Astyanax mexicanus: one gene and its partners. The protein of the gene in region 4 interacts with the protein of the main gene of each other region in a biochemical or structural test. Links are inferred from orthologs where the notes say so. Each region holds a gene or a part of one and is shown on either strand. Other genes may lie near its edges.

What was found.
Region 1: the proteins of e2f1 (region 4) and phb form a complex in vitro, tested with the Homo sapiens proteins (2 studies listed by BioGRID). The link is inferred for Astyanax mexicanus from reciprocal best matches to the Homo sapiens genes E2F1 and PHB1.
Region 2: the proteins of e2f1 (region 4) and topbp1 form a complex in vitro, tested with the Homo sapiens proteins (4 studies listed by BioGRID and IntAct). The link is inferred for Astyanax mexicanus from reciprocal best matches to the Homo sapiens genes E2F1 and TOPBP1.
Region 3: of the proteins of e2f1 (region 4) and setd7, one has a biochemical effect on the other in vitro, tested with the Homo sapiens proteins (3 studies listed by BioGRID). The link is inferred for Astyanax mexicanus from reciprocal best matches to the Homo sapiens genes E2F1 and SETD7.

What each region holds. Positions count from the first base shown.
Region 1 is NC_064426.1:27,732,230-27,739,798, reverse strand, and holds the start of phb (prohibitin), read left to right. Parts: upstream 1-4,556; 5' UTR 4,557-4,704; exon of another isoform or gene 4,705-4,732; intron 4,733-5,461; 5' UTR 5,462-5,479; coding exon 5,480-5,564; intron 5,565-6,533; coding exon 6,534-6,695; intron 6,696-7,119; coding exon 7,120-7,262; intron 7,263-7,352; coding exon 7,353-7,469; intron 7,470-7,569.
Region 2 is NC_064408.1:103,078,899-103,086,732, reverse strand, and holds the start of topbp1 (DNA topoisomerase 2-binding protein 1), read right to left. Parts: upstream 3,001-7,834; 5' UTR 2,898-3,000; exon of another isoform or gene 2,480-2,897; intron 1,547-2,479; 5' UTR 1,539-1,546; coding exon 1,452-1,538; intron 1,311-1,451; coding exon 1,176-1,310; intron 627-1,175; coding exon 483-626; intron 378-482; coding exon 196-377; intron 90-195; coding exon 1-89. Other genes in the region: prkag2a (5'-AMP-activated protein kinase subunit gamma-2a), read left to right, coding at 6,534-6,620. UniProt on the Homo sapiens protein: Scaffold protein that acts as a key protein-protein adapter in DNA replication and DNA repair. Composed of multiple BRCT domains, which specifically recognize and bind phosphorylated proteins, bringing proteins together into functional combinations.
Region 3 is NC_064417.1:27,895,827-27,902,911, reverse strand, and holds the start of setd7 (histone-lysine N-methyltransferase SETD7), read right to left. Parts: upstream 3,008-7,085; 5' UTR 2,855-3,007; coding exon 2,815-2,854; intron 986-2,814; coding exon 856-985; intron 1-855. UniProt on the Homo sapiens protein: Histone methyltransferase that specifically monomethylates 'Lys-4' of histone H3. H3 'Lys-4' methylation represents a specific tag for epigenetic transcriptional activation.
Region 4 is NC_064420.1:14,793,065-14,800,837, forward strand, and holds the start of e2f1 (transcription factor E2F1), read right to left. Parts: upstream 3,013-7,773; 5' UTR 1,509-3,012; coding exon 1,260-1,508; intron 1-1,259. Other genes in the region: znf341 (zinc finger protein 341), read left to right, coding at 4,176-4,206. UniProt on the Homo sapiens protein: Transcription activator that binds DNA cooperatively with DP proteins through the E2 recognition site, 5'-TTTC[CG]CGC-3' found in the promoter region of a number of genes whose products are involved in cell cycle regulation or in DNA replication.

The DNA of each region.
Region 1 (7,569 bases), on a different chromosome or scaffold from region 4:
AATAAAAATTAGCCCTATTCCCTGAAATGAGTTTAACGACCCTGATCTGATTTTGAACTATAAAATACGAGGCATCGCATCAGCACTAACTTCACAACCACTAAGTCAGGGATTTTAGTGGATGTACCATGTCAAATTGAGCTTTAATCTAAGACTGTTTGAATAGGATAAAATGTGTTGTAAAGAACATTAAATCTGAGCCAAGATAATTTGAGCAAAAGACAGCACCACCTAGTTCTCACTGACACCATTACTCAGCCATGGTCCTTTTCAATGAGCTTATCATACATTACTGTGCCAGGCAGAGTTGTACAGTACAAGCCAGCGATTACTGAGCCTTGGAAACACGTAGTTATTGCAGATCTGGATTACAGAGACAAAAGGCAACCCTGTTTTTGGGCTGAACAGACAGGAAGGGAGTTTACAGAAATGGTGATTTTACGTATTACGGACCTTTCACTGCCTGTAACCCGCACATTCCCAGAAGTGCCAAAATGGCTTGGAGAGGGGAATAATTATATACAAAGAGCTCCACTCTAACCTATTCTAACAGAGTTCTAAAGAAACCATCCAATGAAGGTGGAATTTGAACACACATGAAGAGAGCACAATAGATTAGAAGTCTATCACCTTAAACACTCAGGCACCTTGTCTTGGTTTGTCTCTAAAATGTCAGTTCCATTTTTTGGCCTGAAATGTTGTGAAATGCTTCTTTATTCACTTGTTCTTCATGTAAAGATGATCAACATTGTTGCAAAGGCATTTTAAACCCACACAAGCAGAGCACAATGAATTAGCAGTCCATTGCCTTATCCACACGGCCACCTCGTCTTCTTTTTCCATTTAATATACAGTTCCTGTTACACGCATTGGAGCAACAAATAAACGAGTTTAAACATCCGATGCAATAGCAAATATAAAGAAGCACACATTTCTAATGGTGAAACTTTATCTTTATCACACTCTAAATGTGGTGAAGACAGGCAGCGGCGTAGTAGCGGCATCACTCTTAGTTATGAAAGTGACATCAATCTCCTCCAATGGGGAGTGGACAGGCTCCAATGGGGCGTGGACAGGCCCAACAGAGGCATCGGTCTCCTCCAATGGGGTGTGGATGTGTCCAGCAGAGGCTTGACACATCCTCACTCTCCTCCAATGGGGGCCTGACATCTGACTGGGGCCTGGGGCCACTGGTTCCAAATTCCTGAAGTGATTAATAAGAGTACATCCATCTTTTAAAGGTTTGTTTGTACATCAAAAATTGAGTGCTTTTTAGTTTTCTAATATTTTTTTACCGTCTGGTTTTGTTGACATAATGTTACCTGCAATGTGAGATCAAGATCCTGTGGTATGGTCACATCATCATCATCATCATCATCATGGTCACCAATACCAATCTGCTGGCTAAGAAGATCTCCCCGATTGGACTGAGCCATTTCATTTCAAAGGGATACCCCACATGCACATTGGTGCCCAAATAACATCCCCTGCCTTAAATAATTGTGTGGGTTTGCAGGTGCCACAGATCTGACTGGGCTGTATGGGTGGTGCCAATTCTCCCTGACATCCTGTCTCAGCTGCCCATTTGCTTCATAAAGGATGTGTGCAATCCACTCTTGGTCACCTGGCTTGATGACCCGGAGGAGCGGCTTTGACAAGAACCTGGCCTGGCTTATTTCTGGATAGTGCTCAGGGACTGGGAGCAGCTGGAGCGGGAGCAGAAGCAGGGGAAGGAGGAAGTGGCCTGCCACTCTGAGTGGCTGGTACCATCTCAAATGCTGTGGAAGGGAGGAAGGGGCAGAAACAGAAGCATCTCCACTTCAAAGGTGATTGTTAAAGTGGGCTAAAGTTGTGGAGGGAAGGGCTGAAGGGGCTGGAGGAGAAATGTCTGGGAGGTCTGTGCAAGATTTCAACACATGACACTTTTCAAGGTGCTCTGACAAAGCCACAACACCCAAGGCCTATGTGCCACAGTGCTCAATAAATTATCTAACCTAGTGACGAGCTAGCTAACACTAATGTTACTGGAGATAGAATGAAAGCTAGCAACGAGCTAACTAACCTTAGTGACGAGCGAACGCTAGCAAACTACACACTAATGTTACTGGAGTTAGAACGAAAGCTAGCAACAAGCTAACTAACCTTTGCTATGAGCTTTTCCAGGTTGTTCTTGACCGTACAAACTCTATTTTTTATTACCATTTAATAAAAAAATAAATAAATAAACATGCTGTTTTTACTAATAATATACTGTTAATTACTGTAATATTTAATACTATATTAAAACTACATTTTTATAAACACACAATGTTTTAAATATAGACCGTTTCAATGAGGAAAACAATAACAAAGCTAATGCGCATGTCTGTTCCTTCGACGCTTCCGGTGGCGTTATTTTCAAGTATACAGCTGTCAAAATGAGAGCGCATATTTCCCGAAAACAGAGCAAACATATGGTCAGAAATTAGTAAAAAGTGATCAAACCTCTTTTCCTGATCCTTTTGATAAGGATTTAAGAGGGAAGTTTTTTCCTCTGATTTAAAACGCGTGCCAGAGGTGATCTACCCAGATGTGATCAATACCTTGTTGAAACGGAGGCAGTGAAAGCGCACCGCAGTTTGGGCGCATATAATTACTTTCTCAGTGGAAAAGTTGGGAATATTTGTTCATATAGTAGAGAAGCATCACTATAGTGTATGGTGAGGTTGGAGCAAGTCAAACGCTGTCCAACATGTACTCTGCATGGTTTATAGATAAGAGGCAGGGAGAAGTTGTGAGTTGACACTGTAACTGCATGGCAGGTCAGCAGTGTGAAAAACGAAAGCACGCGTGTTTACTATGGAGGACCAAAAATGACATAAGTATAAATAAAAAAATGTTGAAATAAATAAATGAATAAATAAATAAATAAATGTTGACATAAAAAATACACATATAAATTAATAAATAAATATATAAATAAGAAATGTATTTATTAATTAATTTAATTACCTATACACTTATTTGTGCATGTGTTTATTTATTTATATATTTGTTTATTCATTTATATGTGCATTTATTTATATATTTATTCATTTCAACATTAATTTTTTTATTCATTTATTTATTTATATATTTATACATTTATATGTGTATTTATTTATACTTATGTAATTTTTGGTCCTCCATAGTTTACATAGGTTTAAAGAACAATTTGTACTACTATTGTAGTAACCACGGGTGCAGTTGAACAAATTGTCCAGTAGGTGGAGCCACAGTGCTCTCAGATGAATTGCCCTTCAAATGGGAGCAGAAAGATCAAAGAATCTTGCTGGTTTAGAAGAAAGAAATTAGAAGAAACTTGTGTGAGTTCAGCACAAATAAAGGAAAACAAACATAGATGTCTCTTCCTCATCTCATCAAGTCATCACAGTTATGCAGTATGAATTAGAATAGTTTTTTTCCCCTGTATCTCTGCGCACATAATTACGACATATGAAATATGAGGACATTTAAGGAATAGGACATATATAAAAACAATAGAATAGAACAATATAAGCAATAAAAATAAGCAGTAATCTATAATAATAAAACACAAGTAACCCATAAGAGCCCAGACCAATTTCTGAATATTGATACTAATTCATTGAATTTAATAAATTTATTGAGCAGCTCATTCATGTTTTTCTTGTGTGTGGGTTAAAATGTTAAAATCATGATGTAACATAAATCCAGTCACAAACAGGTCAGAACTAGTTATATGGAGCAAAAAACATTTTCTTAACGCGTTTGAACGGTTAAATGGTTGTAATAGAGCTGTAGAAGCAAAAAAAAAAACATCTCCAGCACTATCCCATCACACAGCTTTAAAATCTCTCTCTCTCTCTCTCTATATATATATATATATATATATATATATAGACATATATATATATATATAGACATAAAGAAAGAGAGAGAGAGAGAGAGAAAGAGAGAGAGCTCTGGAAAAAATAAGATACCACTTAAGACTGACGAGTTTCTTTGACTTTACCAAATTAAAAAAACGATGGAAAATAATCAAGAGTAATGGATGATCACAAGCCATCAAACTAATTTTTGCACCAGGAGGAACATAAAGTTATCCAAAGGCAGTGTGTTAGACTGGTGGAGGAGAACATGCCAAGATGCATGAAAACTGTGATTAAAAACCAGGGTTATTCCACTAAATATTGATTTCTGATCTCTTAAAACTGTATGATTATGAACTTGTTTTCTTTGCATTATTTGAGGTCTGAAAACTCTGCATTTCTTAGTTTTTTCAGCTATTTCACATTTTCTGCAAATAAATGCTCTAAATGACAATATTTTTATTTTGAATTTGGGAGAACTGTTGTCTGTAGTTTATAGAATAAAACAACAATGTTAATTTTACTCAAACATATACCTATCAATAGCAAAATCAGAGAAACTTTTTTTTAAGTTTAGGGAATTTTCTGACTTCAGATACTCCGTCTGAAGGCAGCATGTGTTGTGTTACGTATCCGCAGGAAGAGCCGTCAAGGTCCAGAACCACAACCAATGAAATCACTCCATACTTACAGGCACGCGCTTCTCCCCTTCTCAGCTTCAGCGCGTCCAATCAGAATCGCTTCTGTTGGGCAGTCTGCGCATGCTCATACGTCTTGTCTGTTCATGTGGCTGGTCGCTGGGTTTGTGTGGAGGTCACAGTGATCAGGAGCCCGGGTGAGTTACCTGCAGTGCTGGAGCCCATGTGAGAACAGTAGTTATATGTTAACTGATGATGTGCTGGTTGTGTGTATAGGAGTTAGGGTGAAGTAGCTAGCTTGGTTTTTGTGCCTCGTTTCAGTAGAAATGTGTGATTTACTAGTGCTGGCGAACTGCAGCAGCGGTGCGGTTGCAAAACGTTGCACCAGCAATAGATGCTAACTAGTTAGCTTAGCTAACGTTAGGTTAACTAAGCTAGCTAACTGAGTGTGTTCTTGGTTTAGTATTAGCTTGTTATAATCTTGAATTAATAGGTAACTTAGTCGTATTCATTTAACTAGGTAGTGAAGTAGTCACTAAATATTTCCAGACGTTTCTAGGTTAACTAGAATAGTTTATAGCTAGCTAATAGCTAGCATAGCATAGTCCATAATCAAGGCCTCTGAACAGTGCTCACATTATGCACATTTGTAGTTAGTTAGCTAACTAACTGTTGGCTCTGTTTGTTATACAGAATTAAACTAACTGAACACCAATAAGCTAGTTACCCAGTATGCTTAGCTCTGTCCGCTAGTTATATAATATTGATGATTAGCTCTTGATACATAAGTGAAGAGTAGATTTCCTGGCTGTTCTAAGAAGGAATGTTCCAGATAACCTCACACTTTGTCCTTTCTAAACCTAATAAGCTAACCCACATGCTGTTTTATAGTTTTTTCCACAGAATTTCACATTAATATTGTGTAAAAATAATAAATAATCCTTTTTCCCCCAGAGCCGTCACTCCGCTGTCATGGCTAAGTTATTTGAGTCTATTGGAAAGTTGGGATTGGCCTTGGCCGTTGGAGGAGGCGTGGTGAACTCTGCCCTCTTTAATGGTAAGTGGATTTCAGTGTGTTTTAGTGAAGTGTTGTAGTTGTTCACGTCTGTATCCATTAACACGATTAACAGTCTTTATTTCAGCAGCACGGCTGTGTTCAGTTTACTTTGTCTGAGATTAAAAGTCATGTGTTTTAACAGATTATCTGTCTAAAGCTGTATGTTCATATTACACATGGGAAAAGAATATTGTTGCTGTTGAATGGAGAACAATTATATCCAATTTTTTTTTTTTTTTTTTTAAAATAGCCCATAAAACCCCATTTAAAAATGCATATGCTTTCAAAGTAAAGAAGAGTTAAATATAAAAATATAAGACATTAAATATTAAAACATAATAACACAATAAATAATAAAAAACATGTATTTATTGTTTATAAGCTGTGCACAACCTGCCCAGAACGTGTCTGCGACCCACTTTTGGGTCCAAACCCACCAGCTGAGAATCGCTGCCTTACACTCACTTAATTTCCTGATGAACGGGTGGGTTTTTATGTCAGGGATTTTTATTGAGTCTCTATTAATCTGCAATGTAGTAAATAATGAAAAAAAGAATGTGTCCAAACGTTTGACTGGTACTGTGTCTTTGAAACAGAACAGGGACACCATGAGCAATTCAAAATGTTTGCATCTCTAGGTCAAGCATGGCTTCATCAAATGCTAATTTTCCCTAAAATTGTCCACCCTGCTGTGCAGCTTGCCATAACAAGGTGGACACATTCGTGACAGGAAATACAGTGTGCAAATTAAAAATATTATTTCTGATTAGGCATCTTGTCATAAGTTTTTTTTTTTTTTTTTTTTTTTTTAATACCTATGAAATGCCTAATACTATGATCCTAATACTAAAAGATTATGCCAAACTTTGCCCCTAATTGCTGTAAACTTTTTTATATTCTAAACTATATAATTACTAATAAAAAAATGATTTTGACTTAATCTAATCTATATCTGTGTGTGTCCTGCAGTTGACGCTGGTCACAGGGCAGTCATCTTTGACCGGTTTAGAGGAGTACAGGATGCCGTGGTTGGGGAGGGAACACATTTTCTGATTCCCTGGGTTCAGAAACCCATCATTTTTGACTGCAGGTCCCGCCCACGCAATGTGCCTGTCGTGACTGGAAGCAAAGGTAACTACTGTCAGAAAAAAAAATATATATATATCATTTTCATGATCTTGACCATGACCTTGACTCTGAAGGGGTGTAGTAATGGCCTTGTTATATTTTCAGTGCTTAGTGGCCATGGCAATGTTTTCTTATCATTTTAATTCTTAGCAGTGGGTCTTGCTGTCTACAGTATGTTAACCATATATCAGTGTCATGAAAAATGTGGAAATTTGTCCAAGTTGTTTCTTGGACAACGTATCGTCCAGAAACTTTTTTTTCAATTATTATTATAATTTTTTTTATAAATAATGTAGTAAAATTTTCATTCCAAATAAATAATTATCTCTCTACAATGGAATCTATAGAGTTTGCAGTGACTGACTAGTTACCCTAAGGCTAATGCTCTATTAGTATTATAGTTGTCTTTCCTTTCTTTTTCCTTCAGATCTACAGAATGTGAACATTACACTGAGGATTCTCTTCAGACCGGTAGCAAATCAACTGCCTAGGATTTTCACCAGTATTGGTGAAGACTATGATGAAAGAGTGCTCCCCTCCATCACCACTGAAGTCCTGAAAGCTGTTGTGGTGGGTAGCTATAAATCATTCTGTGTGTCTCAGTATAAGAGGTCCTAATAGTATGTGACCATGTGGCCGTGTCTCCATGTTTCCCCTCAGGCCAGGTTTGATGCAGGAGAGCTGATCACTCAGAGAGAGCTGGTATCCAGGCAGGTCAGTGAAGATCTGACTGAGAGAGCGTCCACATTCGGCCTTATCCTGGATGACGTTTCCCTGGTAATCCTTGATACTTTATATCTGTCTCACTTCCTTCATTCATTGCCTGTGGAGTGTGACTACAATGATGATGATGATTATGATGATGATTATGATGATC
Region 2 (7,834 bases), on a different chromosome or scaffold from region 4:
CTGTGGACAGACCAGTTACACATACTGTGCAGCCTTTAAAGACAGGACAAAGGTAGTCCTCTACACGCAGGTCTGAATACCGAAACATACTGAGGAAAAGAAGAAAAACAAGAGAACCAAAATGTTTACCGCCTTTTGAGGTGAGTTTTTGAGTTTATACAGGTCATAAAAGCATGAAGACGAATAGAGTCCTACCTGTCTTGAGACTTTTCCCAGCATGCCTTCACCCAGGTGGGCAGTAAGACAGGTTTCCCCAGGTTGGCTGCCACAAGATATTTCTTACTGCCCACTTCACCTGCCACCAGGTGAGTGACTGATACATTAAGGTCTCTGTAAACCCTTCCTCCCATGAGCTGAACCAAGTCCATGACGTCTGTCTACAGGACAGACACAAATGTGGTGTAAACATTTCGTTAGATTCTAATTACTACTTATGTTAAAGACATATTTGACCCAGCTTGTGAATTTGGTTCATTGCTTACCCGTACTTCTTTGTCCAGGCTGGTACAGGTCACTGTCACATCAGCCATGGCCATGTTGTAGACAGGTTGCTCTGCCTTGGGCACACACCTCTGCTGCTGCAGACAAAAAAGCACTACCAGAGGACTGACTATCCTGCATCCCAACTGTAGTGCACACAGGGAAAAACACAGAACAGGTATAAAGACAGACTACCAGCAGTGTCATGCCAGTAGCGTTATATATGATGCTAGTGACCATGTAGAAATAGCACTACTTGTGGAAGACAAAATAATTTTGAATGAAAGACAAATTCAGAACATAAATCTAGGTAACTAATTTTATTCATAAATATACATAACAGATTACAAATGTAACATTGTTTTTATTTGTATGCAGTGATGAAAAATATCACAATATCGTTTTGTACATTTGCAGTATATTGTATTGTATTTTAAACACAACTAAATTGTGTCCCTCCAAAATACATCATAGTTACATAAAGGATCTTTCAAACGTGAGGAAAAAGATAAGAGTTAATAACAAAGAATTAAATCTTAGTACTGCATTCATAGAGCTGCAACAGAGCTTTATTGCTTAGTAAAAAAAAAAAATGTTTGAACTTTAGTGTATATGTTAGCTGCTCCATCTAATAGACATTCCATATCATTTGTATCCATAAGCTATCGTTTGGGGGGTAATATTTTTGAACATACCTTTCGACAGTGCTCAAATGCACTGCTGGTAAAGTCGCTGAAAACATATAAGGATTTGTCATTGTGATCCAACTTCAGGGCTGCTTCTTCACCAATGGTCTGCACATATTTCTCTGACTGCAATTCCACTATCGCCTTAACATACAAAAAAGAAAAATATATATTTTAATGATATAATGCCAGCAGTTATAGGGTATTCAATAACCATGTTATTAGTGGAGGACTAATAGTTTGTCAGAAACATTTGGTTTCCATTATGATGAATATTTACTGTACCTCATAAGCTTTTTGACCAAGCTCACGTTTCTGCCCATTGTGTTCAACAAACTTTACCATAAAAGCATCCTGGCTCCTTTTGGACATTCTGGCTTCTATTGTTTAAAAAAAAAAGAAAATACTGAATTACTACATTTCAAAAAGATCTCACAGAACAACAAGATCTCACTGATAACTTGACTAATGTATCTCAATTCCATACAAAAGATAACTTGTTGCTTCAAAATAAAGTAACTAACTTTTATCGTACATAAAGTAAAATATTTTATTCCACCATTTATACTGGTCTATTCATTACAGGATCCCTAAAATATCAAGGTAGAAACATTAACATTTGGAGTAGAGGTGTGCCTTATAATATTTGACCTTATAATATTGTAAACAAGATATCATGCCAGAATAAAATTGTAAATAATAAAAATCCATGACAATAGGGGTTTTCTGTCTTGAAAACCTTTTAAAATTAGTTTTCGTTTCTTAGTAAGTTACTGATGTTTACAAAATATACAAAGGTTTCAGATTTATTTTGTTTTGTTTCTACTGAATGTCTGAAATTGTTGACAAGCCATTCTAGGTGACTACACCTAGGTTTTAAACTGTGGCCTATGTTATGGAGCACTGTCACATCGCAACAGGTCCAGCAGCTATAAATCATGCAGTATTAAACTTTTTTCACTTAGTTAACTAGCTAACCAAACTAACTAATTAGCTGTTATTAGGCAAGAAGTCTTGCTAGGTTACTATAAAAATATATTAAATACACAACAGATAGTTAGCGTTAGCTAGTTAACCTAGTTAGCTCACCTAGCTAAGTTACATATTCAGCTATTTAGTATCAATTGTTTATAGGTTAGCTAGCAGTAAGCAGGCTAGCATGAAGAGTACAGATTCTACAGAGCTTTTTTGCATTTCACATTTATGTCCAAAATGTCATAAGAAATACGTGTTAATTAAAGTTAACACTTAGGTTCATTAGTGTCAGTCAGGTCTAAACTGTTAACATAGTTAGCAAAGTAAACTTAGCTTACCTTAAATTAGGTTACTAGCTAAAGCTAGCTTAGCAACGGTCACCAGCTTTCACTGGATCAGCAGTCAGATCCACTAACTAGCTAAATAGATAGCTAGTTAACTAGCTAACGAGCTTATTATCTAAGTAATCTGAAACTGAACATTGTAGTTTAGGTTCAGCCAGCAAACAGACGGATACCAGCTGCTAAACGCCTCAGTTTTGCTGAAATATCATTATCTAATGATGTTTCCTCAGAGAGAGCTCGAGCTCCTGTAGTCCTCCAGTCAGCAGAGCCGTTACCGCTGAACTACTCATCCCCACAGCACACAGATATTAACGGATAAAACAGGCGAATAGAGACGAATCCCCAACTCTAAACGCTTCGTTATCTCTCTACAGCCTGACGGAGGAGCCTTCGCGCCATCCAGTCAACTTACAAAACGTCCGGCAGTTCTTCTACTCGGAGCTGTTGTTGTTTTCAGCAGATCCACTGCTCTGGATTTACCGCCCCCGGACGACGCGGAGCTGAAACACACAGCCGCTGTTTCAGAGGTAAATTACAAACATTGGAGGTTATATCTGATGTTCTGAAGTTTGTAGACTCTTCTTGAACGTTTCTTCTGACATTCAATGTAATAATTGTGAGTTTGCGACCCCCGTGATGCATCAACAGGGACTCACAAACAACCCTAATCATATGATTTTATATTCCAGCTTTACAAAAGATATAGATACCCAATTATGCCAAAATACACTTTGTGGTCAAAAACAACATGGACACCAATTCTCAGTATAATGGTACGGTCAGGCCCATTGTTTAAAATCTAGAATTTATTAGTGAATATTTGAACAAATAATCTCTAAAAACAGAATGACACAAAATGTCACTTGAAAAAAAAAAGAAATCCACAAAACATTTGATGTTAAATAGGACCGGTTTAGGCAGATAAAAACCTGGAAAACGGAATACTATCAGAAACGGAATTTCCACAGCCTTTTACCAGCATACCTCAATTTAACTACTAGTTTGACAACTAGCTAACTTAACTAATGTTAATACCCACTAATATATTTAGCTATTTTAGCTGGCTAGTTTAGCTAGCTAAACGTACATTAGATGTACAATAATATTGAAATCTCCTAAAATTTAAATGTTGAATGAATATAAATTAATATAATAATATGTCGCTATATTTAGGATAATTTTACTACAGATGTTCAAATTCACAGCTCGCCAACTATACCTTAGAAAGCAGTGATAAAGAAGATGAATGCGCTTATTCACCAAAATGTACTTTTTCGATAAAGCAAGACTACAGAACGGTTTATTTTATTAAAAAATGTTAAATCTGCTGTAGATTTACATATATTTTCTACAGTAATGTATTAATCAACATTAAATCATTTAATTTCATCAACTATTTTACAGTTAGTTAGTTAGTTATTACCATTAAACCACTAGACACTAGACATAGAGTCTTTTTTTATAATATTGTAGCTGTTACAATATTTACACAGGTGTTGAAGGTGGTAAATGTTGTGTCGCTGTACAGAGTTTTCTGAAATGTTCAGTATACCCAAACCATGCAGCATTTAAGCTAAATGAACATATCCTGGTTATCACATGAATCACACAAAAAACATTAGAAAAGCCTGCAGTTTAATACAGTAACAGTATAAAGCTGATTAGCAGCATCAATAACAATATTACTTATAGCATAGCTGTTTCAATTTCATTCAAATACTATGTAACAATTAATTTATCAGCGTTTACTCTGAACACATTAACACACATATAGAGGAATATTAAACTTCACTTTAAAGGACTTATTATACATTTTACACAGTTTTCTTTGATGTGAGGGGTGCAGTTGAATAAAAACGGTTTGATAATTTAGGCATTTATGTGACTGCTTGCCTGTAGAATTAGTAGGGCAGTTTTGACCTCAGTGTGGCTATGTAGAACATGTACACCCAGGATGAAACTAGATAGAAAGGACTGGTGGAGGCAGGATGTCTTGTTTTTTTCTCTGGCCTTTCTTGAGCTTGCACATAAACACAGATAATCCCTTTGGTGATTATCATGCTTCTGCAACTGCATATGGTTCTCTCCTGCATTATATGCAAGCTCCTCTGGGGCTACTAATAAACATTTACATGAACAGTCTGTAAAACAGCTCTGTTTTGATACACACAAATTTCTGCAAAAAATAAATAAAACTCATAGCTTAATATTAGCATTTATTATACGTGATTAAAAAATGTTCATACGTTTTTTATAACATGACAGAAAATACACTTAGTTTATGATAAACACGACCACAACATATCACACAAATAATCCATTTGGTCCTTATTATGCTTCTGCAACTGCACATGAACCTCTAAGTGTAAGAAACAGGCTTATTCTCCAACATGTAGCATTTGGCACCAAAACTGTCATAGCCTGATGCTTTAAACTGAACCTGGGCAGAAATAATTCTATATGGGACAAAATATTCACCAATATCCGCTAAAAATACATAGAGGTGACTAGAACTGATATGAAAACTAATTTTTCCATTAACTTGTCTCAAAATAACATATATCCTTGTAAAATACCACTTATTCACAGAGCTTATCTGCTATGCTTACCTCCAGCATCATATGAAAGCTCCTTTGAAGATAAATGAAAACAAAACATAAAACAAACAAAAAAACATGCAGTTGCATTGTTAGTGCAGGGAACAGTAGAATAATGTATAATATGATAATTTTGTAAGAAATCATTTCAAAGAACATAATATTTTATATAATTCCTTTTAGTTATGTCTGTTTAACTCCATTACACCCTCCCCCACTGAATTCTGACAAAATTGTGTACATACCATGGAAGGTAATACGTCAAAATACTTGGTTTGTGTTCCAAGAGTCATAAAAAAGACTTATACATATCTAGCAAAGATGAAGTAGAAAAGTGTGACTTCGAGCTCTTCAACCAGCTACCAGTTGTAGAATGCCTCGTACATTCCATGCTAACCCAAAACCTTCGACTTTTGATTCAAATAGGGCATTTCCCTAACTCTAACTCCTCACAACACAACTAATGCTTTCAAACATATTAAGAGGGGAAGAAATTTGAGTAATTAACTTTTGACAAGGCACAACTTAAAGCCATTCCATGTGACTACCTGAGAAATCTGACTGAAAAGATGTGCAAATCTGTTATCTAAGCAAGAGGTGCCTACTTTGAAGTATTTAAAGTATAAAACATATTCTGGTTTGTTTAACACATTTTCTGTTTATTGTTTACTAAATTATTTTATTTGTTTTTTCTTCATAGTTTGGATAACTTTAGTATTAATCTACAAAGAAAACAATGTTATGAATAATTAAAAAACACTTAATTTAAAGGTGTGTTCAAACTTTTGACTGGTACTGTATATATGTTTTCATACTCATCTTACAATCAATAATATTTTAGCTAAATTTATACTCAGCTCATGACTTAATTTGATACACAGCAGCATCTAGGCTAAGCTGCATGATAACACTGACTAACGGGAGACCTGAACCTGAACTCTGGTTATAGTTTACTGTCTCTAGATTCACACTCGTGTTCATCGACGTGCTTACACACCTCATAGCCCCCCCATGTGACGCGCGTGCGTCCTTTAAAGCCCATCCGCCCTTTGCGCGCTCCTGTGCCAGAGACGGGGGCGCGCCTCAGTGTTTCTGACCGGCATGGAGCTGCAGCAGCAGGTTACAGTGTGAAGCTGCTCCAGCGGTGGAGTAGTGTTTTATTCATTCTGTAGATAAAGCACGCGGTGCTGTAGCCTCGTGTAGACAGAGCAGTTCTGCGTTTTTATGTTCAGGATGCTTTTTTCTGCTTTGTTTTGTTGTTTTTTTTCACTGGAGGAGCTTTGAGATGAATTGATTATCAGCGATAAAGTTCTGCAGCGACAGAATTAGATTAATTAGATTTCACCGCTGTTTTTTGTCGCTGTGTGAGGTGTACCCTGCGTTAATTCTGAGTTTTGTTGAGTTTATTTCTCTCACTGCTGGAAGGTAATATCTCTCTATAGGATTTTAACATGGGGAGCACTGCTATGGACTCTAAGACTAAAGACGGGGGGAAGAAAAGTACCCGAAAGAGGAGGACCCTGCGCTTAAACATGCCGGTAAGTCAGAGCGGTCACTCGTTCACGGACATTGTTTTAGTGATGAGCGTTTGATCCACACCGCCAGCCAATCACAGCGCAGCTCTGCAGCGCAGTTCCAGCATGTGGGTGGGGCTCGGTGAAGCGCGCGGCATATATAACACCTACATTCCACCGCGCTCCGTGCTTTCCCCACCCGTATTCGTGCAAGCTCCGCCCCTCGCAAGGTGATTGGCTAGTAGTTCATAGTAACTATAAACTATGAACCTACCTAGCTTCTAAATTATTGACTAGCACCCAAAACAATATTAGTAATGTAAGTGTAGTAGACATTTTTTTTTTCAAATTAAACTTGTACAGAGCATGCACAAAAAATAGAGACAGCACAGGAAAAACTTGGTAAAGTTTTTACAAATTACCATGCCACACTCAGCCTTATTCCATCCTTTCCATACCCAGCCCTTCACATATCCACCTCAGACACTGAACTGGACTTCACTGCACTTGTTCAAGCCTAAAACAGTCTACAATTTGTCTAACTGAACAAGAAAAAAAAACAGAAAATAAGGCAATTAGACTACAAACCAAATAGCAATAGAACTTTGTATAAAGTGAATATAATGCTGGTTTTACGGCAGAGACATTTTGTTCAAAATTGTTAATGTAAATGTTGATTAAATACACTGTCTGGCCAAAAACACTTTTCACACTGGGTGGCAGTTCTTGTGAGATTAGTGACATTTCAGTTTGGAGAAGCACAGGAGTTTTTTTTTTTTATTGTAATATAATACAGGAAATTTATGGGAAAATACTAATATGGGAGGACAACGGGAAAAAGGGGTAAAGACATGACATGACGCCTAAGCGGAAGACATGACATGTATGAGGGATGCTGCAGTTGGTCAGGTCTAGGTTTAGCAGCAGTATGTGCTGTAAGAATGAGGTCAGCTGACTACCTGAATATACTGAATATAGACCAGGTCATTCCATCAATGGATTTTTTATGCTTTTATTCTATAACACGGACATATTCCAAGATGACAGTGCCAGGATTCATGGGGCTGGAATTGTGAAAGAGTGGTTCAGGGAGCATGAGATTATAATTTTCACACATGGATTGTTCACCACAGAGTCCAGACCTTAACCTCATTAAGAATCTTTGGGATGTGCTGAAGAAGGCTTTGTGCCTCGGTCAGACTCCACCATCATCAATGCAAGATCGTGCATGTATGAAG
Region 3 (7,085 bases), on a different chromosome or scaffold from region 4:
ACAAACATACAAAATGTAAAACAATATTTGATATATATAAACTGTCAAACACACACTTAAGATTATTATATATTATACACCTGACAGTATTAGAGAGTAGTACACAGTTGGGACACAGCCTTCCTTTCCTTTTTCCAAACACACCTGGTCCAACTAATCATGTAAGTAACAAGCCCTGTGTTCAATCAAAAATGTGCAGAACAGCCTCCAGAATAAGGAGTAAGAAACACAGGTGTAGACAAATATACTATGTACATCATTTGAAACAATTTAATTTGAAACTGTTTGTGTAGCTTAAACTCCATTTTTGTTTAAGTTAACAGCATTTACATCTTGCATAATTAAGAATTACAGAATTAAATCTTGCATAATATAGGCTCTTTATAATTTGCTCCATTCAGACATAGTTATCCACATTAAGGTGAAGCCAACCTCTATGTACAGCACATAAATATTCAGATTTGACATTATACAATATTATAGAATTAACCTTCACTAATACATACAGTATATTGATCATTAATCAGAGTCTAAAAATAAGAGCGGGTCAGTAACACTATTCGCTACGAGTGGCAGATCAGCCACATCACCTGTGACTCACACCTACCCATTTACATCCATGATAACTATGGACAGCCTGCAGGACTGTGTGTGTGTGCGCGCGCATGTGTGAGCGTATGTGTGTGTGTGTAGATGAGACACTGACTCATCTAAATATGAATCATAATCATGTCTGAGAACCCAGCAGCCCTGTCTTGGATAATTGTTAATAATAACACACTGGCTGGAAATACTCAGTGTGTGCATGTTTGTGTGTGTGTGTGTTTTGTTGCTTATTAGTGCTTTGTGTCAGACCTGCCGTCAAAAAAGAAGAATTTGCCCTTCCCGTTCTTTTCACCGTGGACGAAGTGGCCCTCAAAGCGATCACTGGAGGAGTAGGTGACAGTGCAGAAGCCGTGGGGGAGGTCATCATCATCCAGTGGTCCTGTGGAGTTGTTTAGAGACATAAACATTGAACATGGTCAGTCCACATGTACAACATATACACACACACACATCCATTCTTGAAATGTGAATTTAAAATTTGAATCTTCAACACTGATGTCACCCTCATCAGCCAAAAATGACTGAGGCAGTGCGCCGATCACCCTGTCATCCACTTACACTCAGGGTCTGCTTCATATTATAAATTCTATAAATCTATATTACAAGACAAAACAAGACAGCATAATGAGAGCTAAATCTCCACAGGCTATTGATGTTTTAAATGAGTTTGTCTAGGTGGGAATAAATTATTATCATAATCATGTGATTCTGCCTATTTCTGCCAGAAAGTAAAAACATACTGGTATTAAAAAAACTATGCATACATACATAAATAGATAAATACATTAATATAACTCACATTTACTTTTTGCAGTTTCACAGTTCAGTTCAGTAGTGATCTGGTCAATAATGTTAACCAGAGAGCAGTAACTGGAGTAGGATGAGTATTCACAATTGTGAAAGTATGGGTAAAGTACAACATCAAGCTAATTCAATAAACAATTTCTTATTTTATTCTCTATTTTTCAGCACCCACAAGCATTCACCAATTCACCTATGTGTGCATATGTTTATGGATGGAGGGAGGAAACCAGACCCCCAATATTTTGTATAGCTGCTGCTGTTTTATCATTAGTTTTACCCATTTAGCCTATCCACTTTTGTACACTGTCCTCTAAATGTTTATTTTAATATTTATATTGAGAGGGTGAGAAAAAGAAATAAAAATAAAAAATCAGTAAGGTTGAGAAACAGGACAAATCCAATGTGAGAAAAAGCCTAAACAATATCCAGTATTAGAGCATGGGAATATTAGACGAAAAATCTAAATGTTTTAATATTTAAATACCCATATTTGATAAGCCTGTTTTAAAGCATACTTTGGCTGTTTTGTGTTATATTACCTCCTAAATCAGTTGTGCTTTTTTATTTGTTGCTTCGGGGCAGCATTATGCAATTATATCACAAAGCATTATGCTGAGCAGTGTTTTGATATTTATTCTCAACAAATGCAAATACTATGCTTTAGAGGGTTAATATTATAATACATTTTACTTTGTTTTTTGAGTTTTTTGTTATATTTATTAAAGGCAGGAATTTTATTTTAGTAATCTAAATGGATAAGAATGACAGAAAATCATATATTTCACAAATGCAGTAAAACAAATTATAATGAGATATTTTTGTGTGGTGAACCTAATTCAGCTACATATTTTGGCTTTCTGATGTCCAACAAATAGCTAACTAAGTAAGACTGGTCTAAAATATGTGTAAATTCAAATAAATTAGAACTGCTCAGTCAATCAGAGAACCATCCGTTAGGCTGTGTCATGACGCACTTTTTAGTATAGGAGTAAGTGATTTGACTTACTCCTATACTAAAAAGTGCGTCATGACACTACACGACCACTCCACGTGAATTAATTAGTGCTTGTTTGGACAAAGCCCTGGTCTTCATATTTCTACATCTTCTCTTATGAGGACGCAGCCCTCAGTCCACTACACAGTACACTGTGATTACTATATCACTGAGTTAGAAAGGTACTGCGCGGTTTGGGACGTGGCCAGGGTGAGTTAAAGCGCTTCGATGAAGACAGGCCCCACAGGACGCGCGCACAAATAACACACACTAAAAGACTCCACACACACACTAACACACTAAACATACCCCGCGCGCGGACAGCTCTCAGAGTCCGTCTATAAAAAGAGTACAGAACTACAGAGCGCGCAGCTCCGCTCTCGTGCACGCGCAGGACCCGCGTGTCGTACCTTCCACCACCTCCTCCACGTTATCCTCATCGCTGTCCATCCCGCCGCGCCGCTCGGGTCCTCAGTGTCTCCGGGTCTGCTCTCGGTCCGCGGGGCTGCAGCTCTGAACTGGATCGCGGTCCGGTTCGGTTTGCTTGGTCATACCAAACTACTTGTGTGAGACAGCACGGTGCTCGGTGCAGTTTTTTTCCTTTTCCTACCTCTATTCAGAAAAGGCCACGCCCCTCCTGCGTTGCGATTGGTTGATGAATCCGTCATTCTTGAATTTAATCCAATCCCTTCGCAGCAGACGCGGGGCTTTCGCTGTGTGGGCTGGCGTGCTGTTTATAAATATCTGATATCGGCCAATCAGAGCGCTCAAGGGCGTGTTTTCCCCGAATACAGGTGGGCTTTAAAAAAAAGCATCGTTAGCGGTATGATGTCACTTGTGTACGCTGCCCGGAATGTGGCTTTAAGTAACCCGGATGTTGTGAATTCAGTGATCTACACCAGAGAACCTCTAGAGAGGAGAATACCATTTTAATAATGTGTTCTGGGCTCGTCGGCCACCAGAGGGCGCTCCAGAGTGATTCCAAAAACTGAAAAGTCTACTAATTTCTAAAGACATTATTAAAAAAAAAACTGTAAAACTCCAGTCATAAACCTTCTAATTATGCTGTACAGTCAGCTCCCAGCAGCAAAAAATATGTCGGCAGTGCTAAAACATTTAACATAGTTCTATATTAAAAGTATTACACGTTTGAATATGAAAATTATTATACTTTCATAAACACTGATTTTGCTCGATTGCTATGAGCCCTCATATTCATTTTGTTCTTACTCTGGAGCACCCTCTGGCGGTGTAACAAACCCAGAAGAGTGGGTTTTCTCTTTTTTAAATGTCCTCGGAAAACCAGAATGTGGGTTGTGAGTAACCCGGATGCTGTGAATTCGGTATTCTACACCAGAGAACCCCACCAGAGGGCGCTCCAGGGCGAGTCCAAAAAGAATGGGTTCATATGAAGCAATAAAGCAAAATCATAGTTTATAAATGTTTGATATTTTTATACTGAAAAGTTGGCTGATTTCTTCGAAACAAAACAAAACCAAATGTTTCAGTGCTAAAGACATAATTAAAAAACTTTAAACTCCAGATAAAAACCTTCTAATTATGCTGTGAAGTCACCTCCCATCAGCAGTAATGCTCTTTACTGCTTAAACTCTTTTACTGTAAAAAAAAAAGTAGGTCAGTTTTCTTAATAGGAAATACTCTTATTGGACTTTCTAAAATAAAGAAATATTCTAAATAAGTTGTTAGTTACTAACTATTTTTAAAGAGCATTTAACCCCATTCATTTTGGACTCATTCACTAGCGGTTTGAAGTCATTCTATCACGAGTTCAAAATGAATGGGGGTGAATAGAACTAAATGGCTAGTTAGTGAGCTGAGCCTGAAGCGAATGTCAGTGCAAATTTCAAATGGTTTACAACTGGAGTTTAAGAACGTTTAAAATGATGTCTGCAGTGCTGAAACATTTAATATTGTTATATATTGAGAAAAGTAGTACACGTTTCAGTATGAAAATTATTATACATTTAAAAAAACACTGATTTTGCTTAATTGCCTCATATGAACCCTCATATTCATTTTCTTCTCTCTCTGGAGCGCCCTCTGGCGGTATAACAACCCCAGAAGAGATCAGTGGGTCCTATCTGATGTTGCGAGTTTCAGTGATCTACACCAGAGATCCTTTAGTGAGGAGAATACCCACTTAATTATGTTATCTGGGCCTGTTGGGCCACCAGAGGGCGCTCCAGAGCGAGTCCAAAAAGAACGGGCTCATATAATGTGATAGAGAAAAGTAATTTATAGTTTATAAATGTTTGACATTTTTTATTCTTCAACGTTTACTCATTTTATCACCACAGAACAATACCAAACGTTTTAGTGCTGAAGACATACTTAAAAAACTTTAAAGTCCAGATAAAAAGCTTCTAATTTTTTTTACAAAGTTTTACTGAATACGGGTGGATTTTAAAAGTCCTGAGTTTTGGGCTTGTTGGGCCACCAGAGAGCGCTCCAGAGCGTGTCCAACAAGAATGTGCTCTATTGCTTAATGTAAACTCAATCATATTTTATTTTTTTATTGATACTTTTTGTACAGAAAGGTTTACTAATTTCCTCAAAACAGAACAATACCAAATGTTTCAGTGTTGAAGACATAATAAAAAATTATGCTGTGCAGTCAGCTCCCAGCAGCAGTAATGCTCTTTACTGCCTAAAATTCTTTTACTGTAGAAATGTAGGTCAGTTTTACTATCAGGGAATACTTTATTCGACTTTCTAAAATTAAAGTAATATTCTGAATTAGTTATTAGTTACTTATTAACTATGTTTAATTAGTTTTAGCCGATTAGCTCCATTCAATTCCATTATTTTGGACTCACTCGCGGGCTCCCTCTAGCGGTTTAAAGTCATTCTATACTATATCACGAGTCCAAAATAAAGGGGGGTGAATATAGCCAAACGGCTAAAACGTGAAATTAAAAAATAGTGACTTAAATTTTGGAAAGTGGAATGATGTATTTTGCAACAACAAAAAAGCAAAGAACGTTACATTAACTTGCCCATTTTGTTTTACAATAAACATGTTTTAGACAATAGATTCACTACCATTACTGTAAACTAACTATTTAGTGAGCTGAGCCTAAAGTGAATGCCAGTGCACGTTTAAATGGTTTATAAATGGAGTTTAATACCTTTTAAAATGAGTCTGCAGTGCTGAAACATTTAATATGGTTATATATTGAGAAATGTAGTACACATTTCAGTGATCTACACTGGAGAACCTCTAGTGAGGAGAATACCCACTTAATAATGTATCGGGCCACCAGAGGGCGCTCCAGAGCAAGTACAAAAAGAATGGGTTCATATGAAGCAAAAGAGCAAAATCATAGTTTATAAATGTTTTATATTTTTATACTAAGAAAGTTTACTAATTTCCTCAAAACAGAACAATACCAAATGTTTCAGTGCTGAAGACACAATTAAAAAAAATAAACTCCAATTAAAAACCTTCTAATTATGATATGCTGTCAGCTCCCAGTAGCAGTAATGCTCTTTACAGCCTAAAATCCTTTTACTGTAGAAATGTAGGTCTGAAATGTAAAACTTACTACCAGGAAATACTTAATACTTTCTAAAATTAAATGAATATTTTGAATTATTTATTAGTTACTTGCTAATTATTTTTAATTAGTTTAGCTGATTAGCTTCATTGAACCCCAATAATTTGGAATTACTCGCGTGCTCCTTCTAGCGGTTTAAAGTCCTTCTATAGTATATCATGAGTCCAAAATGAATGGGGGTGAATAAAGCTAAACGGATAAAACGTCAAATTAAAAGTAGTAACTTAAATTTTAGAAAGTGAAAAAAAGAAATATAGTAGACTTTTCAGTATGAAAATGATTATACCTTTATAAACACTGATTTTCCTCTATTGCTTCCTATAATCATATTCATTTTGTTTTCACTCTGGAGCGCCCTCTGACGGTGTAACAAACCCAGAACAGATTCTTCAGTGGGTCTTCTAACTACCCTCGAAGGCGGGATTTTACGGAATACGGGTGGAATGTAAAATCTGGAATATGTAACCCGGATGTTGTGAGTTTCAGTGATCTACACCAGAGAACCTCTAGAGAGGAGAATACCCACTTAATAATGTGTTTTGGTCAGCCCACCAGAGGGCGCTCCAGAGCAAGTCCATAAGAACGGACTCATATGAAGTGATAGAGAAAAGATTTTATTGAAGAAGAAATGTAATTTAATCAAATCTGGGTTATTTTAAATCGATGTGACTCTCAAACTCTCACACTATCACTCATAACAAAAATGTTATAATGTTTTATAAATAATTTATCCATCCATTATCTAAACTCCACCCCTGGAAATAGGTGTGGCCTTTAAACGCCCTGTGATCTGTGCTGAGCGGTTGTGTAAAGGTGCTTGCACACTGAACGCGGTATGCCGCGCGGCATTCCGCTGTGCTGCCGCTCTGCTCTACGCTGGCCAGTTGTTGTTGCGTTGGGCTGCTGCTGACGCCAAGCGTCTCCTGCTGATAATAGGCGGAGTTTTCTAAAACCCATCACCTCTGCGAGCGGTGTTTTGTAGTTTTGAGTCTCTACAGCCTCTGTGGATCTGTATATGTTTCTCAGCCTCAGAACAAAGCTCTGATTCTTCTCTTCCTCCTGTTATCTCTATATGAGTGTAGGGAAGTGATGTACAGCTGAGG
Region 4 (7,773 bases):
ATGTACATATAGTGTATCTCACTATTTTATATTCATAATCTTATTTTCTGTAACTTTTGAGAAGGAGAGGAAAGTAATTCCAATTCTCTGTATGTCTTTTACATATGCAGTATTTACAATAAAACTACTTGACTTGACTTTAGTACTGGTTCAGCAGTAAAGTTAGTAGTTGTGGTACTGGTTAAGCAGTAGAATTAACAGTTGTACTTGTTTAGCAGTAGATGAACTAGTAAGAACAGTAATGTACTAATTCAGCAGTAGAGTTAGAAGTTGTAGTACTAGTTCAGCAGTAGAGTTAGTAGTTGTAGTACTAGTTCAGCAGTAGAGTTAGTAGTTGTAGTACTAGTTCAGCAGTAGAGTTCGAAGTTGTAGTACTAGTTCAGCAGTAGAGTTAGTAGTTGTAGTACTAGTTCAGCAGTAGAGTTAGAAGTTGTAGTACTGGTTCAGCAGTAGAGTTAGAAGTTGTAGTACTGGTTCAGCAGTAGAGTTAGAAGTTGTAGTACTAGTTCAGCAGTAGAGTTAGAAGTTGTAGTACTGGTTCAGCAGTAGAGTTAGAAGTTGTAGTACTAGTTCAGCAGTAGAGTTAGTAGTTGTAGTACTAGTTCAGCAGTAGAGTTAGTAGTTGTAGTACTAGTTCAGCAGTAGAGTTAGAAGTTGTTGTACTAGTACAGCAGTAGATTTAGTTGTTGTAGTACTAGTTCAGCAGTAGAGTTAGTTGTTGTAGTACAAGTTCAGAAGTAGAGTTAGTACACAGGAAATTTGGCAGTGTTAAATCAACACTGTTAGTGTTAAATCAACTCTAATAAGTGTTATTATATACTAATACTGTGTTATTATATACTAATACTGGTAATAGTAGGTTTAGTACCAGTTCAGCAGTAGAATTAGCAGTTGTACTTGTTTGGTAGTATAAGAACTAGTAATAGCAGCAGTGGTTGTAGTACTGGTGCAGCAGTAGGATTAGCAGTTGTACTTGTTTGGTAGTATAAGAACTAGTAATAGCAGCAGTGGTTGTAGTACTGGTGCAGCAGTAGGATTAGCAGTTGTACTTGTTTGGCAGTAAAATAAGTAGCAGTTGCAGTACTGGTAACCACAGTGGTTGTAATTTGCAGATGGCAGATGCATTTCTAGCAGTTGTAAGACTAGTAGACTGTTTTAATACCATATCATTACTACTGCTGCTGCTGCTGCTTGTCGGTTACACCTACTTCAGTCAGTATCAGTAATTCTGCAGATATTGATTAGCTTATGGTCAGTACCGGTGGTCGTCCCAGCGCGGGTCTGCGGATCTCTTCCAGGGGGGCCGGGGTGGTCTGCGGCGTGGCGAACAGCAGGATGTCCCCGCCCGCGGAGTGGGTGGCAGCCGGGTGAAGTTCCACACCGCCGGGGGTGGAGATGATCACTATCTGGTGCTCGGCGCTCAGGTCGATGCTCCCGCTGTTCAGCAGCGACTCGAAGTCGGCCAGGAGGTCCTCGGACGTGTGGCCTGATATGAAGGTCTTTGACATGTTGGACTGTCTGTCTGAGTGCGCGTTTTAAATGAGGCTGTGTTTCCGAAAACACCCTCTGATTCAGGCCTTCAGTGGAAAAGAGTTCAGGAGACTGCCCTGAACTGTGTGCTGTGAGTGAAATTACACTGAGGGCAGCCAGAATACCGTCCTGCTGGAGGAGCCATGTTTATAAGGGCTTGTTATAATTACATATATTAAGGCTGACATATGTATATATTTCTTATAGAGATATTTAAGTTTAATATGCGGATTTAACGCAAGTTAATGCATTAATATGAGAGGCTTTCATTCATTAAACTAACAAAACAGCTACGCTAACTAGCTAACTTAGATAACTAGGTCAAGGCTCTTACAGCCAAAGTACAAAGTTTGACAAAAAGCAGAGGAGTGAAAGTTGCCTAATATGATTACAAATGTAAGGAAATATCATTACGGCTGTTTTTGACACTTTAAAGTAGGATTACAGCTCTAAAAGTCAGAAAATCTGCATTTGTCAGTGTTGAGTGCTAGCAGCCCTTTGTTTTGGTCCCCTATGACTAGACAGCTGAAAGGCCAGCAGCTGCAACTCTGCTCCCAAAGCTAACTGGCTAGCAAATATAGAAGCTATAAGTGGGGAAATGGGGAAATATATACGAATACAAATTACTATAGTTAGCTATATTAGCTACAGTTATAGTTAAGAAGCTATTAAAGTGATAAAGTGGGAAATGTAAATATGAAGGTTACTATACAAGCTAGGTTATAAGCTAATTTAGAAGCTATTAAAGTGTAATAGTGGACAATAATAAATATAGCATAGGAAACATAGGGAAAGTCAGAAAATATGAATATACAAAGTTACTAGTGCCTATTGTAGCTACTAACCTAGTTAAGTTAATATGAACGTTAGCTGATCTATACGATATTGTTACAGCAACAGTCAAGTTCAGCTTTATATTAAGCTGGATGGCTGATAGAAATGCATCTAAAAACTATAGATTAACTTTTTTTTAAAGCAACTACACATTTAAACATTTTAAAGAGTTTTTTTACTATTATGAGTTAATAGGTGACCAAGGCGAGGCTTTTCAGTGTAAAAGTTTAAAATATCTGCGGCCCTTGGTTTCTCTTTCTGCCAGAAACAAAACAAACCCGTCCAGGAAGCTCCTCCGTCCAAAAACTAGCTAAATAATCCAACTGTCCTGTCGGCCGCGCTCTCCAGGCGAAAACATCCACAATAAACCCCCGATAGTCTCTCGCTTTGTGCCCACAGGTCCGCCGCTGAGCCTCCGTCCGCTCCCCGAACCGATCTGCTCCGCTGTTTCTCCCTTTTTGTTATTGTTGTTTTTGTCTCAGCTGATCGGCTCTAGCTTATTTACGCGCCAAATCTTTTTTGCCGCGAAAACTGGCACGTGCCGAATCGCGGCGACACTATTGGACGAGAACAATTTTCACGTCACGGTTCCTCTGCTCTCTGATTGGCAGCCGCGCCTGTAACTCAGAAACAGGCACTTCTGGAGAGAACAATGGGAATTTAATCGATGAGCAAGTTTAAAAAATATATTTATTTATCAAAGACTTTATTTTATAATTACAATTATTATATGTGGAACATTTTCATTAGAATTTGCCCAATAACTAGCTACGTATCTAGCTGGCTTTGTTAGGTATCATATATTTTAGAAGCAGGCTAATACATTTGTCTCAGCTGACCAGAGAATATTAAGAATATTAAGAGCTCTGAAATACTTATAACCCATAGCAGTCTGTTACATATTTGCCTATATTACTATATTGCATTGTAATACTGTAATAAAATAATAATATTCTAATAATTACAGTATTTCACATTTACTATGTATATGACACACATGTATACGAATGATTAGTATAATTAACTATTATAAAGACTAAAGATATTGAGGGTAGACTAGCTACTACTAATGCTGTCCATTATGGGTTGGAATGAATTTGATGGGTGAAAATATAAAACATTTGGGTTCATACTGTCTGCAATAAAAAGAAAAGTCAAAGTAAATGTAAAAAACTTTTTTTTCTCTTTTATGGGTATTTTTCATACTCTTTCAACCAAAGTCTTTATTTAAAGTCCCAAATTGCAACTACCAAGCATAGCCTAAGAAGTATTTTTAGTGGATACTGATGTTTGTATTTCTTTTGTTTGGCTTTGTCTAATATTGCTACAGTTTTTAATTTAAGCAAATTTAAAAAAGAAGACAATTATGTAGAAATAAAATATATATTAAATGAATACATATTTATAATATTTATAAATGATTATATAAGCAACTATTGTTCAGCACCTCCAGGAACTCCTTCAAGAAAACTATTCCAGGAGACTTAAAATACCAAGAGTGTGCAGATCTTCCTTCAAATCTAAATGTGTTATTTAGAAGAACTAAGTTTATAGTATAAAACACTTATTAAAATAATACCACGTGTTCCTTTTTGATGTCTTCAGTATTACATTTACAATATAAAAATCATAAAAAGAAAGAAAACACATTGCCCGAGAAGAGGTGTGTCCACATGTTTGACTGCTACTGTATATCATATTAAAATATAAATGAATAGAATGTGTAATATTAATCAGCTGACAGGCCCCGCCCACTCCTCCGCCTCAGAGAGACAGAGAGCGCTGCTCCGCCGGCTGCTGAAGACTTCAACATGTCGCAGGCGATATTTGAGGTGCTAGAAGGTAGACACAAGCATTTTTTACTCATTTTTTTTTACAAAGAAATACAGACGTTCAGCTGTCTTTTAAATTGTTTCTATTTCCTGCTCTGAAAACTGAAGTTTTGAGAAGCAGCCGGTTCTCTCGTGTCTTCCGTGTGGCTCAGTTAAACCCTTTAAACCCGTTAAAAGCGTGAAGCGGAGCTGCTCGGTCCTGTTAAAGCGGACGGGTCTGCAGGATGTGTGTGTGTTTGGAGTGTGTTTTGGGTTCGTTCGGGTGTTTTTCACTGTTATTTGTGTGCGCTGAGATTCGTGTAGAAGAGGGAGGGTGGGCCGCTGAAACAACAGCTACGCACTGAGGGAGGAAAGATGGCGGAGGGCGAAAGGCGAGTTGTGGGAAAAGCCTCCCCAGCGCTATATGGTCAAATTCTGCGGTCCACCTTAAATGCTGCCGCTGTTCTGCTCGGGGGCGTGTGCAGGTGGCAGTTCGGTATTAATGTATTTTTTAAGGTGGACCTGGATTTTGAATTAGGGAGCCAACCACAGCTTTGTGAACTGCTACAAACAGACTGACATATCTGTTGTAACAGATTTAGACAGAACTAGTAGTAAAGTGTGATGACTCTGCTTATATGTTCTAGTTTTTTTTGTTTAAATGACAGATAAAATACAAAACTGTTAATTCTATATAGCATGTATTATTAGCTTAGGAGTCTCTGTTGTTATATCAAATGTTTGATAAAAAAAACACTTGTATTAAAGCTATTCAAAAAGAAAACATTTTAAAACAGTCACATAACCTTCTTTACACATTTTTGCACACATACATATTTTTTATGACTTGTATGCCTCATTGTATTATGTAGAGATATGGCCAATTACATTACATTTCTTTAAAAGAAAATGGCAACAAAGACCACGTCCTAGCAGGTTAAAAAATCAAATATAACTTTAAGATAAAGTTGAGTCATTTTCACTTTTGTTTACAAGCCAAGACAACTTAATAGCATAGTAGAAATACATTCTAATAGCAGGCATCTAGATTAAGGATGCTCAGTGATATTGGCATTATATCGGTATTGGCCGATAATAGTTTCAATTAAGTATCATCACATTGGTCGAGGTCTAGATATTACCAACTTTCAGTGTTTGCAAACATATTTATTGCATGCCGGAAAATGACCAAGCAACGGGCCGTAATGTGAGGACCAGTAATCCTGTACCTGGCCTATAGACCTGTTCGCAATTTGGTGTTGGGGGAATTTCTCACTTGAACTGAGTTAGTGGGTCCCTAGACATGAAAAATCCCTGAGGTGCTCGTCCGCCATAGTGCCACGAATTCCGCAATGGTCAAATCAAATATGGCTGCCATCGGCTATGATGAAAATCCAACTTTTTTGTTTCTGAATGTATATACACAAATAATACCTCAATTTAGACTAATTATGGTATGAGAAACTTATTTCTGATATTGTTATGACCATATTGGGTGATTTTGACATTAAAAGGTCATGATCAAGGTCGTTTTTCTATTCTTAAGTGTACTGAATGCGTGCATGCATATTAGTGGGATGGGTTTTTTACAGAATGATTTTTCTATTTTTCCATGGCAGAATATGATGCATGAAACTCCAGCAGAACGACAGCCACATCGACTATTGTCACACTTGCCTGCACACTTACAGACTGAGAGCAGACTTGGTGGTAAAGGCTTCAGACATTTTGATGGCGGGAGTGTGCCAAAGTGCTCCTTCCATTCATGGTCTGTTGGCTCTAGTCTTGCTTTGGTGTCCTTGGCTGTAAGCAAGTTGCATGCCATATGAACCAGAGAAGCCCCTCGTTGGATGTGGCCTCTGATCACACTACTTGTGAGAGCATCAATTCCAGTACTTCCATGTGTGTAGATTTCTACAAATGTCTTAGCTTTTATCAAATATCTTATCTGTTGTTGTTGTTGATCTGTCCCCAGCCCAGACATGCACCAAGTGCTTCTCAGCCAAAGCTGCATCATGCTCTGTCAAGGCCTGCATCTTGCTCTGCCTCTCCAAAGTTGGCTCAGTACTGGGTCAAAAGCTGTAGAAGCATGTTTAGTCTCCACCTTGCTCATACAGTCATCTCCAGTCAGGATATGAGCTTTAATCACTGTCTTTGACAGTTATGCTCCGAAACGAGAGACTGCTTGATGGAGTGGAAGCATTCGCAGCCTCTCACCATTGCCATACTGCCACCAGATCTCCTTCATCCCAAGTTCTGGGAAGTATGTGCTGTAGCGGAGAAGCAATGCAAAGGTGTCTGTGTCATTGGAGACTATGATAACTCTTTTGCACTGCTTCACAAGAATAGCCCACTCAACATGCACCAGCAACCTGGCATCAGCTTCTTCAATCCTGTTCAATAGGTCTGGGATCTCGTCCCCACCAGCTGCCTTTGCTGGCAACACCTCATAATGAAAGACAACAGAGCTCACAAATACAGTAGCATTGCCACTGGTTCGACTGCAAACCATATCACGATCGGGACATGAGACACTTTCTCTAAGCAGTCTCTCGACTTGGAGCATCACTTTCAAAGACAGTGATTAAAGCTCATATCCTGACTGGAGATGACTGTATGAGCAAGGTGGAGACTAAACTTGTTTCTACAGCTTTTGACCCAGTCCAGTACTGAGCCAACTTTGGAGAGGCAGAGCAAGATGCAGGCCTTGACAGAGCAAGATGCAGCTTTGGCTGAGAAGCACTTGGTGCATGTCTGGGCTGGGGACAGATCAACAACAACAGATAAGATATTTGATGAAAGCTAAGACATTTGTAGAAATCTACACACATGGAAGTACTGGAATTGATGCTCTCCCTCTCACAAGTAGTGTGATCAGAGAAAACATCCAACAAGGGGCTTCTCTGGTTCATACGGCATGCAACATGCTTACAGTAGCCAAGGACACCAAAGCAAGACTAGAGCCAACGGACCATGGATGGAAGGAGCACTTTGGCACACTCCTGCCATCAAAATGTCTTAAGCCTTTACCACCAAGTCTGCTCTCAATATGTAAGTGTGCAGGCAAGTGTGACAATAGTCGATGTGGATGTCGTTCTGCTGGAGTTTCATGCATCATATTCTGCCATGGAAAAATAGAAAAATCATTCTGTAAAAACCCCATCCCACTAACATGCCCGCACGCATACAGTACACTTTGAGAGAAATCCCACTGCATGGTGCACTTTTAGTTCATTTGGTTTGATGTAATTTGTATCACTTTTATTGCTACATAGTTTTATTTGCACCCAATTGTTTTATATCATTGTACTAACACTCTGTTAAAATATAAGTTCAAAGGGGATGTTTAAAATTGTCATATTTCTTCTCTTCATGAGTGTTAAATATATATATATAGCAATGGATATTAAATGTCAGATTTATTAGACTTATTGTATCTGGTTTTGATTCCTTATAATGGCCAAGTTGTGGGGAAGGCCTTCAGAATAGAAAAACGACCTTGATCATGACCTTTTAATGTCAAAATCACCCAATATGGTCATAACAATATCAGAAATGAAATTCTCATACCATAATTAGTCTAAATTGAGGTATTATA